Linked DNA regions of Drosophila melanogaster. The gene in region 1 interacts genetically with each later gene. Each region holds a gene or a part of one and is shown in the gene's direction. Other genes may lie near its edges.

Evidence for each region. Genes that interact genetically often act in the same process or in processes that back each other up.
Region 2: of kay (region 1) and Rala, changing one suppresses a phenotype caused by changing the other (phenotypic suppression), as found in Drosophila melanogaster (one study listed by BioGRID).
Region 3: of kay (region 1) and Sox21a, changing one suppresses a phenotype caused by changing the other (phenotypic suppression), as found in Drosophila melanogaster (2 studies listed by BioGRID).

Annotation. Positions count from the first base shown.
Region 1 is NT_033777.3:29,787,357-29,794,633, forward strand, and holds kay (kayak), read left to right. Parts: upstream 1-1,579; 5' UTR 1,580-2,796; coding exon 2,797-3,498; intron 3,499-4,036; coding exon 4,037-4,364; intron 4,365-4,430; coding exon 4,431-5,668; 3' UTR 5,669-6,757; downstream 6,758-7,277. UniProt on the Drosophila melanogaster protein: Developmentally regulated transcription factor AP-1 binds and recognizes the enhancer DNA sequence: 5'-TGA[CG]TCA-3'. May play a role in the function or determination of a particular subset of cells in the developing embryo.
Region 2 is NC_004354.4:3,716,602-3,721,227, reverse strand, and holds the start of Rala (Ras-like protein A), read left to right. Parts: upstream 1-1,592; 5' UTR 1,593-1,865; intron 1,866-4,560; exon of another isoform or gene 4,561-4,626.
Region 3 is NT_037436.4:14,102,947-14,109,753, reverse strand, and holds Sox21a (Sox21a), read left to right. Parts: upstream 1-1,635; 5' UTR 1,636-1,946; intron 1,947-2,595; 5' UTR 2,596-2,679; coding exon 2,680-3,212; intron 3,213-4,866; coding exon 4,867-5,500; coding exon of another isoform or gene 5,501-5,557; 3' UTR 5,558-6,273; downstream 6,274-6,807.

The DNA of each region.
Region 1 (7,277 bases):
CATGTGAATGTGTTTTTGAACTAATTAGAGCCAAGGTCAAAGTTGATGGTCTAATCAAAATGATAGCGCGGATTTACAGGCAATTGATAAGTTTGAGTTTTCAGGGAATTCCTTTGGGAAGTGGCAATTTTTAGGTTTTGAAATATTTTTGTAAGTTGCAGTCACCATACATTTATTTAGGGGCCACTTTGGTTTGGCTTGAACCGCCCGCAAATCAAATTTGCAGCAGTCGCGTGTATTAGTCAGCAATTTGTTGCTTTTCGCTACGTCAGTGTTTTACTTTTTCTTTTTTTTTTTTACTCTCCACTGCTGGCTGTTCGATGTTCGCTGCTCGTTTCATTTGGTTCATAATTGACCCCCAGATGTGAACTCGGTGTCCGGAGATATGACTCTGTCCAACGTTCCGATAGGAGAATCGAGATCGCCATCCGAGCTGGCTGGCAAGCAATTTAGACAATTCAATTCGCCGCGCTTGATTGCCAGCATTCTATATCATCACTTGTTTTGCATACGTACATTTTCCAAATTGACTGATTCATCATCGGCTAAATGCGGTTCATGTTCGCGAGGGACAAGTTCAAATGGCAAAAAAGTGGGTTAAAACGAAAGTAGCCAGCCAAACAAAGGTGGCCAAACAGCCAAGGCGGCCGAGTTGAAAGTAAATTTCGCATACGAAATTAAAAAGTAAATATATCACAAAGAATAAAATCGATTGTTTGCTGTCAATAAGGGAACGGCCTTTGGGATTGGGAAACACGGCTGCGATAAGATCGTCAAATAAATAAGCACACAAGCCGCTCGAACTCGCTGCACGGAGAGAAAAGAAGGCATACTACTTCAAAAATGTAGCCCCAGTGCAACTGGTATGTGTGTGTGTGTGTGTTGCTCTTAGCCCACAACAAAAGCCAGCAATTAGCGTATTGGCCAACTTGCTGGCGACGGAAATAAACGCTCTTGGCGAGACAGGGGGTCTGAACTGAACTGAACTGAACTGAAAACATAGTTAATGTGGATGTGCCACACGCACACACCTGTTCGTGGGACATCTGTCGAATCGGACATGTGTATATATGTATGTAGCTTATGTTTACTCGGAATCATCGCTTTTGGCCAAAACATTGGGCCTGATTTATGGGCAACTGAAAGGCTTTTCCGTGGAAGCGAAGAATGAGCCTCTGGCAAGTTCGGCAAATCGGAAGCAGAAGCATATACATATGTACATAAGCCACCACCACATTCTACTATAGCTAACTAAATGTACATATTTCGCTTTGAATGCGGCAAAAGCGAGCGTGGTCGTCGTGTGGGCAGCCGCTCAATTAAGAGCAGCCAGCGTTTAGGATCATTTGATTTCCCAGCGGCTGTCTTCTAATTTGAGCAGCCAGCTCGCACAACACACGCCCAGCAGACAGCAGACAGCTCTCCGGATTCGGATGCGGGTTCGGGTTCTCTAGTAGTTCTCAAGATATATAAATATATATATGATATGTATATATATACATATATATGCATACATCTGCGGCGATCTCTCGATCGCGATCGTTGCCAATTTCGCTCGCCGGAGATTCTGATGCGATTCAGTCGCAAACGAACAACGAACCATCGAAGTTTAGAAAATATCTAACAATTAAAAGCGATCGCGCGCGCGCTTTTCCTCGAATCGCATCGCATCGAATCGAAACGCGAAACTCAAACAACGAAACGAAAATAAATTTGGAAAACTGCAATTGTCGTTGGGTTTTCGGTGCGCGTGCATTGCCAAAACGAATCAGGAGCAAAAAAAACGAATCAGTCGGCTATATGTACATATATACATATAGACGCAAAACAACGCACATTTCTCGGCTGCAAGCGCGTGGATCGAAATATATATGCCATACGAATATACATATATATATATATATATATGTAAATATAGCCAAACCCAGAAATAAAAGCGCAAAGGGAGGCATAACACTCGCTGTGTTGAGAGGCGTTGCCCATGGCCGAGGAATTTCTGAATACAACAAATGCAGCATTAATTGAACTAGCTCAAGGCTCCATGTCCGTGTAAATCTCTATAATTATATAATAATCGAATTTGCGGCTCACACAGTGGAGCGACTTAAACTGGACACGTGTCGCTGGATTTTGGGCCTCGCACACTTACGATAAACTGCGTCGATTATGAGCGCTTTCGCCGAGCGGAATGTGCGTTTCAATCCTTTGCGAAATCAGCAAACGCTTATCGTTAAGCGGCTGAGACCGCCGGAGAGCCAAAACTTCAAGAACTGAGCAATCGAACAACGAACATATACGAAATCTGCTCACGGCTCGCAGCTAGCAAGAAGTCAAATCAAACGAACCCTTTTTCTTTATTAGGAAAGAGCCAACGCAGAAAGCAAACGAAATACACAATACACACAAAAAAAAGAAGCTATGAAACAAAGCCAAAAACGAACGAATTTCTAAGCAACTAGAACAACACTGCGACAACAAACAGCATAGGAGCATCCAAACGAACGGAATTATAAAGACAAGAAAGGATCATCAGCACATTGTTAGGAAACTTTGGGAACAGAGTCCCAATTTGTACATATACTCTAGTTTAGCTAGTAACTAGATTCTTAGATTGTTGAATTGTTTTTGTTGATTTTGAATACAATTCGCATATATCATTGTTGTCCCAATTGTTGTGTTAGCTTAGCTAGGCTAAGAACCCCAACGAATACTAGTCAGCCGCCCAACTGTGCGTATACGCAACGCGAGTGCGTATACTTAATATTTAGGTTTAGATCGATAAGCAGCGAACAAATGATGAAAAATCTCAACGGTAGGACGCACAATGCGTGCTACCATCCCTACTACCACCAATCGCTGCATTTTGCTCAGCAGCAGCAGCAGCAGCAGCAGCATCATCTGCAGCAACAGCAGCAACATATGCAGCAGCAGCAGCAGCAACAGCAAGCGCCGCAGCAACAGTTGCGTCATCAGCAACGGCAACTGCCCACGCAGCCAGCCTACCAGCAATCGCAATCGGTTGCCCACAATGCTTTTCCACTGCGCAGCAGCAGCAACAATTATGGCCATGTTGCTAGCAGCGCCTACGCTGCCAGCAGCGGCAGTCACAACAGCAACAATGCGGCTGCCATGGCCGCCGTCTGCCAAATGCAGAATTTTTTCAACCAGCAACAGCAGCAGCAGCAGCAACTGGAGTTCAACAACAATTGCATGCCCATTAATTACTACCAGCAGCAGCAGCAGCAACATTACCCTTCCGAGTCCCAGTCCTCCGCCTCCGGCTGGAATCCCGAAACCCCTGGGCAGGCGCAACTCGCCTTGACGGCCACAACATGCAACACCACTGCAGCTGCAACATGCAACACCACTGCAGCTGCAACAACGAGCACAACTGCAACATCTGCTGCCGCTGGCAGCGACAACAACCACAGCGACAACTTTGCAATGGACGCCAGTGAGATAGCCACTTTCCTCGCCAACGAGCTTTTCCTACAGCAGGTACCACAGATCGATCGATGATGATGCCTCCGATTCTGGTCGAGATTGGGATAGATTTGGGCGCGAAACAATTGGCAAGCGGCATGCGTACTTAATCATCGCCGAAAATAGAACAAATGCGGAACAACAAAGGGGTGGGCAAATATAAACAAAGTGATGGATTGGCCGCCTCTCTTTCGGTTTCTTCATCTCTCTTCGCCTCTTTTTTTTTCGTTTTTTGTTTGGCCAAAAACACGTTCGCTAATTCGCTAGAAATGTACGGATAAGCAAGAGGTCTTACAGACTTAGCAATAGCTTTTGATGTTGACTGATATCTGAACTCGACCCAAATTACTCATGTGATAAGAATAAATTCCCAAACATCCTTAAGCTATTCGCGGGCAACACTGCGTATGCGTGATATATGTATACTGATATGGCATTGTAGAGGGTTTCGTGCTTGTCATGAGCTTTAATGAGCGTTAATAGTAATCCATCTTCTCAGATACTTGCACTCATAGATGTCTTTACTAATCATGCACCTTTTCTGCTCTTGCAGCTCGGCAACTTTGAGACCGGCCAGAGTGTTCTCACACTGACGACGCCCACGTTGACGCCGACCACCACGCGCAACATCGAGGACACACTGGGCCACTTGCTCTCGGACACGCAGACCGATCGTGTGGCTGGTTGCGCGGGATTTGCAGTGCCAAAGGTGCTACCCAATGCCATTGATGTCCTGGGCATGGGTATTCCCACCGGTGTTTCGTCGCTCCCACTTCAGCAGACATTCGATTTGAGCCTGGGGCAGGGCAGCGAGTCCGAGGACTCCAACGCTTCGTACAACGATACGCAGATGAACGAGGAGCAGGACACGACCGATACTTGTAAGTGAAGCTGGCACGAATTGCTCCGAATGTCTACTAACTCCCTTTTATTTCATACGCCTGCAGCAAGTGCCCATACGGACAGCACCTCGTACCAAGCTGGCCACATCATGGCGGGCAGCGTGAACGGCGGCGGTGTCAACAACTTCTCCAATGTCCTGGCCGCCGTGAGCTCTAGCCGCGGATCGGCGTCGGTGGGCAGCAGCAACGCGAATACCTCAAATACGCCGGCTCGTCGTGGCGGTGGCAGACGCCCCAACCGGTCGACGAACATGACCCCGGAGGAGGAGCAGAAGCGGGCCGTGCGCCGGGAGCGGAACAAACAGGCGGCGGCCCGTTGCCGCAAGAGGCGCGTGGACCAGACCAACGAGCTCACCGAGGAGGTGGAGCAGCTGGAGAAGCGGGGCGAGAGCATGCGCAAGGAGATCGAGGTGCTGACGAATAGCAAGAATCAGCTGGAGTACCTTCTGGCCACCCACCGGGCCACCTGCCAAAAGATTCGCTCCGACATGCTGAGCGTGGTCACCTGCAACGGTCTGATTGCCCCGGCCGGACTCCTGAGTGCAGGGAGCAGCGGCAGCGGCGCGAGCAGCCATCACAACCACAACAGCAACGACAGCAGCAACGGCACGATTACGGGCATGGACGCCACGCTGAACTCCACCGGGAGGAGCAATTCACCCTTGGATCTCAAGCCGGCGGCGAACATCGATAGCCTGCTGATGCACATCAAGGACGAGCCACTCGATGGCGCCATCGACTCAGGATCCAGCCTGGACCAGGACGGTCCGCCGCCCAGCAAGCGCATCACCTTGCCGCCCATGTCCACGATGCCGCACGTTCACTTGTCCACGATATTAACGCCCACCGGCGCCTCGTCGGGATCTCTGCAGACGCCGATCACGAGCACGGCGCCCGGCGGATTCGGCAGCGCCTTCCCGGTGACCTCCAACGGCAGCAGCATCAACAACATCAACAGCATCGGCAACAACATGAACTCTCCCACGCTGAATGCGCATAACAAGGTGCCTAAGGAGCGGCCCAATACGCTGGCTTTCCAGCGTCCTCTGGGCCAGATGCACCTCACCATGGCCAACAACAAGGCGGGTGGGCCCACGCAGATCCAGGGCGTGCCCATCCAGACGCCCTCGACCGGCACCTTCAACTTCGACTCCCTGATGGACGGCGGCACTGGGCTAACGCCCGTCTCCGGACCCCTCGTACCGAACAGCTCCTCCACGAACAAGCACCCGCTGGAGCTGCCCACGCCCACCGCCGAGCCGTCCAAGCTGGTCAGCTTATAACCGGACCGGATCTGGGACGGGGATGGGGGCCGAGTCAGGATTAAGTTAAGTTTTATATAGTTGGCAGGCAAACAACGGAAGGAAACCGCGAAGCACTTTTCTAGTTGTAGGAGATGTTTTCATTTTTGTAATATGCTGTAATATGCGTAAACGTGACGAATGTGTTGTTTCGTTAACTCTAATGTTTTTGTATTATTATCTTTATTATGGTTAATTTATGATTTCGCTATGTCTTTTACATACGCCGAGGAGCTATGTACATATGTTATGTACTTGTAATTTGTGCAATTTTCAAACCTCTTCATTGCGCGTTGTATATTTTCAAAAAATATAAGAACGCGAACGCGAACGCGAACGACCGACGATGCATGATGAGAATGATAAGGATAATGATGATAATAGGGCGTGTAGATTTGCAGGATGCGTTGTGATATTTATTATAAAACGAATACAAAAGATGCGAGGATGAAACAAAGTAGAAAGCAAACAGGAGCGTCTAATGAAAGGAACTAAGCCGGTTTTAAAATTGTACATTTAAACGAATCGTAAAGCGTAAATATACTATAAAACAAAACAAAGTGAATATATATTCAGCATACAAACTAAATACAATGCCTTGAGAGAGAATTAAGAAATGCAAACCTTTATATATAGAGATCTACATACATATATGTATGCATGTACATTTAAAGCTAAACAATAATGGCGTTGAAGCGAGTTTTATATTGAGCAAAAGCAAATGTGAAATGAGATAAATATACTTATTGTGTACTCTGTAAGCTGCAGTAGAAACCAAAATATATTTTTACTAAACGCAACATTGCGCTATTTTCAAATACCATTTATAAGAAATGACAAAAGCAAAGCAATTATTTAATATGTAATTATGTATTATGTATACCTATATCTACCTACCCACAACCTTAAATCAAAAAACCCAAAACGATTCAACAAAAGCTGATCAGGTAAAGCAACTCTCGCCAGTTTCCACACTAAATTCTCAGAATATTCAAAATTTTAATCTATACAAAACCAAACCGATTGATAGCAAATAAATGCACTTATAAGGGCAGAAAAACACCAAAATTTAAAAATGAAATGGAATAAAATAGAAATAAAAAGACCGACAAAACCTAAAGACGATTTGTGGAATTATTTCTGAAGTTATAGCGATTCACATGACTTGCAAATGGGCTGGCTCGTCGTCAGGTAAACATATCAGGTAGATTAGGGTGGACCAACAAAGGCTGCATTCTCAATTTCTGCAGACTTCTTCAAGCGATTTGAAGTACTTACTTATGGAAGTAAACCTCATTGAGAAAATGGCTCTAATGTGAAAATGCGATCATTCAAGTTATGAAAACATTATGAGATAGAAACACCTAGTTGCTGCCATAAAGACCAGTCTGAAGGGCAGGTAAACGCAGCCGTGTTCTTCCACTCGTCTGATAATGGCACAAACGAGTATATATGTACATACAACACACGCTGCATATATTCATTTTCGGGTTTGCCTTATTTTGCATTTTTTTTTGTTTTTTTTGGGATCTGTTGCTTTCGGTGCAGCCACGAATCGCGGATCTCTGTTTCAGTTACTCGAGAAGCGGCG
Region 2 (4,626 bases), on another chromosome or scaffold:
ATTACCAAATATGTATTGTATTATCAATTGAGTTTCAGTGAAATAATTGTGTGTGCTATAATTGAATGCAAGCAGAGGTTTTGCCAAAACCTGGCCATGTTTAGGTATTTCATTAAAAACACGCTCATAAACTACACTTGTATAATTGAAAAACTTGGCATCCTTTTAAATGCAATACGCTTTTATTGGGAAATTTCTCAATATGATTTAAACAACATTTCAGCCCGCCTAAGGGTTAATGTTCCAAGATGAAATCCCAATAGGTTTTAGTTCGAATCTTTCCCTTTTCCGTCTTCTTCTTGGCGCTTTTGTTGTTGCCCTGCCTGCGCTTTAGAGATCGGCATCTCGAATCTCCAATTGGAGTGAGGTTTTTTGTTATTTTCCTTTTGCACTCGGCGAGAAAATGCAGGGCAAAGAGCGAGTCTGATAGCGGGAAGGAGCAAAATGAACGACCCAACAACTAGCCGTACTAATTGGCATACACACATGCCACGCCTCCAACTGCTCCTAAGTGCACACACACACACACACACACACATACACACATGTGCATAAGTTTTTTTGAATTGTTACCGGTGCCAATTTGTTTTTGCGAGTGTATTTATTTGAATTTACTTTTATTCGCGTGAATATGTGTGAGTGCGAGAGAATTAAATCGCCGGCTGAGATAAAATAAAAGTCACTACAACAATAACAACAATGCTATTCACTCGCCTCTCGCTCGCACACGCTTCGCTTTTCGTTTGCTTTGCTTTGCGTTGCCTTTTTTTTCCGTTGTTTCCCCCCCACCCCTCTCCGTTTTTGCACACAACGCTGCGAGGTTAAGTTTGCGATTTTAGGAATTGTACGATTTCTACGGCTTTTCCGACATCGACATCACATTTAGAGGAACGAGAGGTGTTTACCATGCCATTTGGTGTGGCGAGCATATATCTTCCGCTTCCGATCGGATCGGCGATTGTCTTAAACTTTCAGAGGCTGCAACTATAGCTTTTTGTTGTTCTTTTTTTTTTTTCTTTCGCTTTTGTTTCTTTGGGATTTGGGTTTGTGGCGTGGCACTGTCGGCACGACACTTAAGGGTTAAGGTTAAGGGCCAATCGCCATGATTCCCAAATGTGTTTACTTCGGTTTTCCACAGCCGATTTTTGTCTATTTTCACAGTAAAAAAAATATTCACAATATTCACACGAACGCACACACGCAGAAATGGCCTAAAAATATACTGTAAGTTGGTGTAAAAAAAATACCGAAACGAGTGTGCAAAGAAGCCATCTGGCGGAACGATGAGTGCGCTTAACATGCACAGTTGTGTCTGTTAAAGTAGCAGTTTAGCGGTCACTTGTTACTTAGCGTGTGCACCAACCATAGTTATCGGATACTTAAACCGCTCGCCAGCGAGTGCACAACTCGCTCGCTCGCCTATCGAGTACATCAACCAGCAAAGCGAGTACACCCACCAGCCTTAGCGATCACACCCACCTCAATATAAGACGGAACTTATTGGTATTTTTGTGTTATTCTTAGTGATGCTTGTGCTTGGTATAATTGATCGATGGCAGAGCGGTCACATTGGTGCACCTCTGTGGTATTTTTCCACTTTCACACTAGTTTCTTTCAAGCAAGCAAAACCAACGGAACTTTAATTGCGGTGTGCGGCGAACGAGAAGAGAAACCGAAAAGCAGCCAATTTACTGTTGCGTTCCGATCCTGTTAATTCATCAGTTGCCGATTCTCCGATCGCGCCTGTAACTTTTTTGTTTAGTTTAGTGCATCAAGTGCGAGATAACACAGCAAAGCAACAACAAACGAAGCGACAGGCCAAAGCGGACGCGCAAAATACAATAAAAAGGAAGGAAGAAAACGAAGTACGCAAAAAGGAGGAAAGAGAAGCAAAAGCATTTACAGCTAAAGCATTATAGAGTGATTACGCATATTTCGTATGTTGTTCTTCATGATGTCTGCCGTGTGGAAAGATTCTTTCTTTTTATCTGGGTGTATACACCGATGAAATCCCAGAAAGGAATATACACAGGGGTTTTTTGTTTCATAAACAAAATTTGTAAAAGCCGCCAAAAGGCGCCGCTGCCGGCGTTGCAGTCGACGTCGAAGAAAGTGGATGTGTGTGTGTGTGTGTGTATATGTGTGTGAGCAAAGCAAGAGGTGAAAAAAAAACTCAGCAGTGAAATCTTTCTGCTGCTATTTGCTTTGTTGAATATTTAAATGTAAACTAAATAAAAGGTATTGCGCTTGGCATTTTTGTGTGTGTGCTCCATTCAGCAAAATAAAGGAAAGGAGCGGACTGATGAGCACACGGAGAGCGAGAGATAGAGAGAGAGAGAGAAAGAAAAGGAGAAGGGCGGCGAGAGCCTTTTATCAACGGCTATCAGCAGAAATATTTGTTGCCGCACCCCGCTTGACCTTATTCTCTCTCGCTCTCGCTGCCGCTCTCTCCTGCTTTATCGCCCTCTCTTTTTGCGGGGTGTGCAAGGTGCAGTCGCCGCCCGCATTTTGCGCGTTGACTCATACACACAAACACACACACACAAGCAAGCACGCACACGCCCCCATCGCCCCTTTGCTTTTTAAACTTCTCTTTATCCCAATTCCGCTTTGGGATCTCGTTTACGCCGCTCTAAATAACATTTGCCGAATTTTCCCAAGTATTAGTAATAATTTAACATTATACAAATATTATTTAACCAACAGTTAAATACAGTTGAGTTTTTTTTTAAATGACAAGTTTATTAAGCACATTTCTTCATTAATCACATATTTCGAATTTCTAAGAACCTTCTTTGGCACTCGAAAATTGTCGTTTGAAATGCAAGAAAATTCGCAGAAACGGTGTCTGGTTTTAATCTCTGTTATTTTGTGAGATCGCTTTTGATGGCATTCGCTCTGTGGCGTTATTTTCTCACAGTGACCCGTTTTCCGCTACCATCTTTCCCTTTCCCCATTTCTCATTATCTCCACGAACGTGCCGATTTTCGGGTTCTGTTGCTAATCGGAGAACCATTTTGACATTAGCGTTAGATCATCATGATGGTGATCGTTAGTTAATCCGCTTCAACTTTATGCGCATCTGAATGTTCCATCTTTTTATCCAACACGCCTAAAGCAAATGAGGAAAACTGAAAAACGTGACACAGAAAAATGGTTTTACAGTTTCTAATTAGGCTCAAGTTCAAGATCAATTTGAGTGCCAGCTTGTTTTATATTGAATAATTTCATTTATCTATGACTCACTTAATCGTATGTGTTGACCCCTTTCCCCCTTTCACCAACATTTCCTAATTATTTGTTTGTTTGTTTGGTTGCCAAGGGGCGTTAAAAGCTCTCACCAATTGAACGAAATGCGAACGGGGGGAAGTGAATAGCTGAAGTATGTCAAAAAAAAATGCGTTCTCAGTTCCTTTAAAACTGAGTGCTTAAATAATCAATAACTGCTCTTTGTGTAGTTTGCCTTATTATTTACAAAATGCGAAACCAGTTTTGATTTCAGATCGGTCTGTAGAATATGAGCCATTCATATTCCAGAGAAATTTAATCGTTATCAAAAGTGTAAACAAAATCTTACATTATTTGCAAGATATAGCCGAGCAATTTGTTAGCTGTTTCACCTCTGACCTTTTCAAATATAATTCTCTGGCAGGCGAGAATAGATTAACAATAGAGTTGAAAACACTGACTCATAATCTTCACGATCTTTCGCAGTGACACAGTTTTTGGTATATATGTAGTTTTCTCATCTTTTGTTCGGCATCTCCGGCATGTTTGCTAACTTGGCCAGAAGGGAGAAGATAGCGCAAGTCGGCCAACTTAGCCTAATTTATAGCCATCAAGCTGTGATTTGCTCTAATTTCACTTCTAATGGAGTTTTGTCAAGGGAGACAAATCACGGAAATGGGTTCTATTTCTATGTTTCTTCTAGGCCAAGTCCATTATGGCCAACATTAAAGTTTGTTTTCTACGAATAATAATGTTGGCCTAATGCAAAAGTTATACACACTTGATGATAATTGTCCATAATGGCCAAATATGTCTGCCGAATGTCTTCAAAATACGTTTTATATACCTGATTATCAATGAATTGTGCATTAAATACGTGTAATGACTTTGTTATTTTCCAATTAAATGATTAATCGCCCGTTACCAACGATCTACGATATCCGTTTGTAAAGCATTTAACATTTGAAAATCTTGAGATTTCTTCCAACAAACGATTCTTGACAAAGTCGCGCGCGCAATCACATATTTGTTAGCTGACTTTAGTTTGTTACATCATCGTATCAGCATCTCCAAAGTTCTCTCAACACATTTGCCTTATACAGGTTTTATTTGTTTTATGCCCAGGCTCTCAAGTGTTTCCCCATGGCTTTTGTTGTTGCTCCATCGCATTTCAAGATCTTTTATCACAGCTGACTATGCCTAGGTTTTAATTATGCTCTCCTCGCTTCAGAAAACACTTCCCACGCATTGTTCGTACATATATGTACCTATTTTTCATATACCACTCGGTGTGAAATAAGTTTTTAGTTTTTTTTTTTTTTTTTTTTTTAGGTATCGCTATCTGCAAAGGCAGATCAAACTTGCTCGGCCAAATAAAAACACTTTGTAAATGAGTCT
Region 3 (6,807 bases), on another chromosome or scaffold:
AGGAATGCAGAGCAAAAATCCTTAATTGCTTTATTCCTTAACCTTTTCAAGGAACGCAATAAAATTAAAAAAAAAATTTAAAATAAAAAGCACTGCGACGATTCATTTATCTTTAAAATGTTGTTTTTGTTACTTTCTAGGTCAAATTAATTTGAAGATTTAGTATATACTGTGGAAATGTTGCTAATAGTCCCAATAATCGTTAAATATTATTGCAAAAGCATATTTAATTAAAATTAATTGTGATCGGGAAATTATTGTTCCGGATGTACTATACCTAGCATATTACACACTTTTCTATTGACATTACACTGTAAACACCGGGAAAATTGTCTAATTTCTTAGTATTCGTCAAGGGAGAAGCTCCGTTGGCGGAACATTGAAACCGTCAATTATAAAGAGCGGCATTTATAAGAAATTTTAGCAAATGTATAAAGGTGGTACTATTAAGGGATCAAGGGCTTCTAATCGTTGCAATTATACAGAAATCGTTATTGGTACAGCAACAACAAGAATTGAGAATTTCCTGTGTGTGACAAACAAGGAGAGCAATTGAAATAAGCGGCCCAACCCTGCCAACAAAAAGGGCCAATCTTGCGGATACCGAAGCTTGCAGCAAACATACCAAATAAGCCACCGATCGATTGTGAGAGCAAACACCGGTCTAATACACAGTAAGAAATTATAGTGCCATAACCATATAGTGTAGACCATGCATATAAGTAAGTATCCAATATTTGGTTAATTGTAGTATAAGATTCAAAAGCTAAAGTGTATTTTTCATTCGATTGATTGTTGCCACTCCGTTTTGTATTCCATTTAAATAAACTAATCAAGGCATTTTTTTGACATCTTAAAAATGGGTTCTCATTCCATAGTTAAGAAGAGCTATAAAGTAGTTTAACTATGCCTTTTATTTGGATCACAAATGCATAGAAGAAAAACAGAACTGAATAATAAAGTGTTTTATAAACGTACCAATTTATGATTTAATATTTTGTAAATAAATATAGCAGCGAAATTCTCAGAACTAGCCGGAATTTTCTTGAATTTTTCAAAGAAAACTATTTATATTTACAATAAAAATTGATATTGGTAGCTTAATATGAAATATGTTATTGGGCTATTCAAATTTTCAAAATTATTTTTGTGTTACGGTTTTGATAAAAAATGCAGATATCATCAACTGGCGAAGAGCAAAAGGAGCAATGTTTGGTAAACAAGAATGCAAACGTGCACACAAAACGAAAACAAACCCGGAGACTATTGTCAATAAGATACAAAACGCAGATACAAAGATACAAAGCAGCAGCAGCGAATTTTTATCACTTAGCCGCCACGTTGACGCGTCCTCCGAAGGTGTAAAAAACTCTACAAAATGTGCGCGCTCTCTCTCTCTCTCTCTCTCTCTTACTTGCGCGACCCTTCTCCCTTGCACTATCTCTCGCCTTGTCTCGCTCCCACTCGGTCCTTTTGGGCGGCAGCGACGCAGCAGCGACCAACCACTACAGAGACACCCTCATACTTACAAACACCCACGTTCTTCCTCTTGCCCCTTTTTGTTGCGTTTGTTTGCCGTTTTTGTCGCAAGTTTTCGAATGTGTTTTCAAATCTAAATTGTCGCGCACTCGAAACGGACGCGCTGCGCTCGGCTAACGGTGAATCGGCAGTCTAACGGTTTAAATACTTTCAACGTTCGTAAATTCGAGGCTCTATAAATCTCGAACTGTTTGGAAAATAAGTTAAAAATTCATATCAGTGCACTTGTGTATTTTTAGGAGTTCTAATGGCGATCAACAATAATTAACCTAGTAATATTAATAAACAAAAAGAACTCGATCGCAACGTAAACTCTTGTGCAATTAATTAGATAGTTAAGTGTCACGCATCGGATGGAATCCAAATTTAAACTTTATTAGGGAGAAATTAAAAGACAATTAATACAGGTAAGCTAATTATGATGATGAGAAAAGGTCCCTAGGTAAACAATTCGAATATTTAAATATGAAATGAAGAAAAAGCTGTGCTCTAAATTAAACTATTGCACACTCCTCCCCAAAAACTAAACACTTTAAAAAAGCGAAATAAGCGAACAAATATATTTTCTTAAAAAAGAAACCAAAAGATTTATAAGGATATGAAATATATAATGAATTTTATGAATATTTGCAATTTTCAATGTTAGAAAAGCCTGTTTTAAAAAATATATCATTTTCCAATCCAATCTTTAATTAATTCATCATTTGAAATCGAATTTGGCAGTACTGTTAATATGCAAATATACGTTCTTCAAGGAATATATTTTGGATAATATTAATTTAAGGGAAATCCCCAATTTTGCAAATACTCAATACTGAAAACTGATTTGAATTACTGGTAAATATTTAAATTGGTTTGTCATAAAACCGGGACACCATTTTGAGCCCCCTGTACACACACATTAGAAGGGGTAAATGGAGTTCCATTGTGCATATTTTTGGTAAGCTATTCGCAGTGCGAAGAGCTCCAATCAAATGACTCATGCAGGGAGCAGCAGACAGAGTCCCCAAGCTAACAAGGCATATCTATTGAATACCATTTCCGTTGGCATTTCAGAGCTCGAGGAGCAGCTGCAGCACTACCACCTGATAATTACCACCTGCACCCCCATTGGAGTCCCTTGACTCCGCGCCCGGCATCATGACGAGCATCTCGGCCCTGCTCCATCGGAGCCACAGCCACAGCAATGGTTACACGAGCAGCGGGAGTAGCAATCACAGCCATAGCAGCAGTCTCTCACCGCAGTTGCCCGGCATCAATTTGGGTTTGGGCATGGTCGGTGGCTTGGGCATGGGTATGAGTGTGGGAGTAGGCTCTGGATCGGGAAACACCACCCCACCACCGATGCCGCCAGCTGACCTCGCCGTTCCGCCAGCGGCCCCCACTCCGGTGGCACCCAAAATGCACCAGCACACGCACCACCATGGCAACTCCCACCATAATGCCCCGACCAGCCACTCGAATTCGAATACTGGAAGCCATCACAACAGCCACGACCACATTAAGCGACCAATGAACGCTTTCATGGTCTGGTCGCGGGGGCAGCGTCGCAAAATGGCCCAGGACAATCCAAAAATGCACAATTCTGAAATATCAAAACGCCTGGGCGCCGAGTGGAAATTACTCACCGAAGGACAGAAGCGTCCATTCATCGACGAGGCAAAACGATTGCGGTAAGTATTGTTCACTGGGGTCTGGTTAAAAAGCACTGAGAAAATATGTATGTACTAAATTTGTAAACAGAAATAAGAGTATTTTCTTACCTGGAAAAGTCCTTACCTTTCAATTCAAAAGTTAATTTTCCAAGTCTATTATTAATAGGGTTTATTAGGGCGAAGTTATATTTAAAAAAAATAAAAAGATATGGATCCCATTGATGTTAAAAATCACAGATTATCATATTGCAGTAATCCTATATTAATTTAAACTAGGAAAAACATAGTTCTTGTATTTTTTGTAGTTACCTCCGCTTTCTATTCTTGGATATAAGAATTACTTTGTTTATTCAATTTTATTCAGTCCACACGATATACATTTTTTTTCTGTGCCGGCTTATGCAGGAGCAGAGTGGTGTAGGTTGGATGGGAAATTCTGGCTTGGTTTCGGTTACCATTTTCCCAGTTGGTAGCTCATTCTCACTAGATGCCGTCTGGCCACAAAATTTGATCGATTAGCTAAGACAAAGGCTACCTATTGTGAGGAGCTCCTGCTGAATTGCGGAGCTCTGGAGTCGGGGATTGTGTCCGCTCTGCTTAGTCAGAATTTCATTGGCACTGCCATATCTTGGGTAAACATTTCAATTGAAGTTGTCACACAAAAGCGAGGCAACACGTCGCATGAAATGCTCCATTCATTTTGCATTTTGCTTCTTTTTGTGTGCTTAACCCATTCAGTGTACCCTTTCGAAAGGGTTTGAGTAATTTCAGTTTGAGCTTAGTTTTAATAAACGTAATTATCGGGATTAACTGAAAATACCGCTAGAATGGAGTTCTTTGTACAAGAAATATACTCAAAAGCGAGCATTTTACAAATAAGTACAAAAGTGATATCTCACATTATTTTATTTTTTATAAAACTAGCTTTTAAATAAGTTGTATTGGTATAAATGGAATCAAAATTTGCAGTGCACTTTTAAACCACAGGAATTCCCAGAAATGCCGTATCTCACAAGTTCGTTTTTTCTATGCCTTCCTAGATAGTGCGGTCTTTTATGATGACGAACCTCTGTGTTTGCACTGTCATAATCCTTTTATTGATTGGATTGGCCTGCCAAAATGGAAATGTTAAATTTTACTTACATTTTATGACATTTATAAATGATCAGGGCTCGTCAGAAGGGGCTTAAACTAATGGCCATTCGGGGTTTTCGAGCGAGCATATCGAATGAAAAGAACCAAAAATTCTGATCAAATATTTGCCAATGCGCGATGATAAGGAAAACAATATTTTTTTTCGGGACCCGCGATAAGGAGGCCATAACTGACCAAAGAAAGGAAAACAAAATAAAGAAAAGCGAAAGTAAAACAAGAGGAGGCGACCCAAACACACCTTTTATCAGGTTTTATCGTTATGTCAAACAAATGTCAACAATTGCGCATTGTTGCAGCTGGGAAATCGGAAAGAGAATCGAAGTTGGAATCGGAGTGCTGGTTCTTCGCTAAATACACAATATAAACTTGTGCATTTTGTATCTGCCTGGCGTGGGGTTTATGGAAGGGTTCCGCTTCTCTTGGGGTTTACGACCAGAGATGGCTGACTTTATGATATCATCAAAGCTTAAATCGTTCGATCTTTTGATCAGTGTTTCAACATTTATTTAATTTACAGGGCTCTGCACATGAAAGAACATCCCGACTACAAGTATCGACCACGTCGCAAGCCCAAGACGCTCAACAAGTCACCGGTGCCAGGTGGTGGTGGTGGCGGCGGTGGAGGTGGTGCCAACGGTGGTGTCAACGCTGGTGGTGCGGGTAACTCCGGTCCCAGTGGCCCAGGATCAGTTGGCTCCCCCAAGGATATGCAGCCCCAGTTGTCGCCCTTGGGTCAGTCGCTGCCACATCTCCACGGACATCCGCACCAGTCACCATATCAATCGCATCCACACCACCCGCATCCTCATCCACATCATGTCCAGCTGGCCGCCGCCACCTTGAGCGCCAAGTACGGTTTTGGTTCGCCACTGGAGTTATCGCTGCCCCGCCTGCCGAATGCCTTTCCCGGCCTCGCCCACTATCCACTGGATCCCACGTTGGCCCTGGACCTACAGGCGCGCCTCCAGGCGATGTACGCCGGCTCCATCTACCACCCGTGGCGATATCTGCCGCTGATAAGTCCGGAAACTCCACCCTCCCCGCCCAGCAGCAGCGGTACCGGCATCTCATCCTACGGATGCGTCAAGTCAGAGAAGTCCTCACCAAATGCGGTAGTGGCCAGCGCGGCCAGTCCGCCAAACATCATTTGACCGACTCCATTGCGCTTCGGCGCCGGCACCTCCTCATCCGCGGAACACGTGGTCTAGGATGAGCACCACAGAGGGAATTTGGATGGTAAACTTTACCATTCCTCTCCAAAAGTTAAAAGTCCTAATGTTAGAGCCTAGTGTTAGACGAATATTAATGCACGTCTTTAGTTGCTACTATAATTATGTTTTTGGTTCTGATTTAGTGCTGCTTCACTATTTTAGATGATTAATTTTAAAACTACATTCAAAATCTCAATTTACTGACATTTTTTGACAAATAATGAAGTTAAGTCCGGCCTCGAAAAGCAATAGACATTTTAAATCAAAGAAATTTTAAAAAATCTTAGCTAAGAAATAACACTTAGTAGTCTCTTATAATTTATATATATATATTTTATATATATTTTTTGACATTTTATTAAAATTCACAACATCATTTGAATTCGTACATATTACTTAAACTGCACTTAATATTTTTATTGATATGTTGTTATATGAATAACTCAATTCTTTCGATAAATCTTTGAATTAATCAGCTTTGAATCAGCTTAAAACACATTTTAAATGGTTTTATTCATACCTAATTTAAGGATTTCACAATCTTTGTTATCAATTTCTGGAACCCAAACAAATGGCTTATTAGATCTAAAGTACATTAGATTTGTTAAGGCATCGAGAACATGTCCACTTTTATGTAATATATGATTGTAAAACTATACTTTAATGTGATAAATGAAAGAGCAGAAATCGAATTAAAAATAGTGTGAAATTCCACGATTTTTAAACAGTGTACTTGAATAAAGCATGGCATTGGGATTTATGGCAAAATTGTAACAATAGTTTTAGGATTGAAGAACCCTATAGAGACCTGGTTTGCATGTGAGTGAAAATCATAGCTTGCAATCTGTAAGGAGTCACCGCCAAACGCCACAGGCTTCTGTGAATATAACGACAATGTTTGCTGATGCGTTGATTATTAGTTTAAATTGCCGACACGCCGCGGGGATGAATGGATGACGATGGCCAGGATTGTCTGCCGTTTCGGAAGGGTGGCGATCGTCCTTAATGGGATTCCTTCACGCCCACTTGTTTAAGCGGCCAACTGTGAAGCGCTCACCGTCGAGGCGTGTCAATAACTCTCGGCCCAAAAACAATTGGCACTTTTTTGTCTGAGGCACTGCACAAAACAAAGCAGCAACCACCACTATTATTGGACTTTTCTCTGGGTGGGTTGGGTGGAATATAGACAGCTTGGCGGTACAGGGCAATCGCGACAGCATCGTAACCAGCTGAAAAGCCGCCCATAA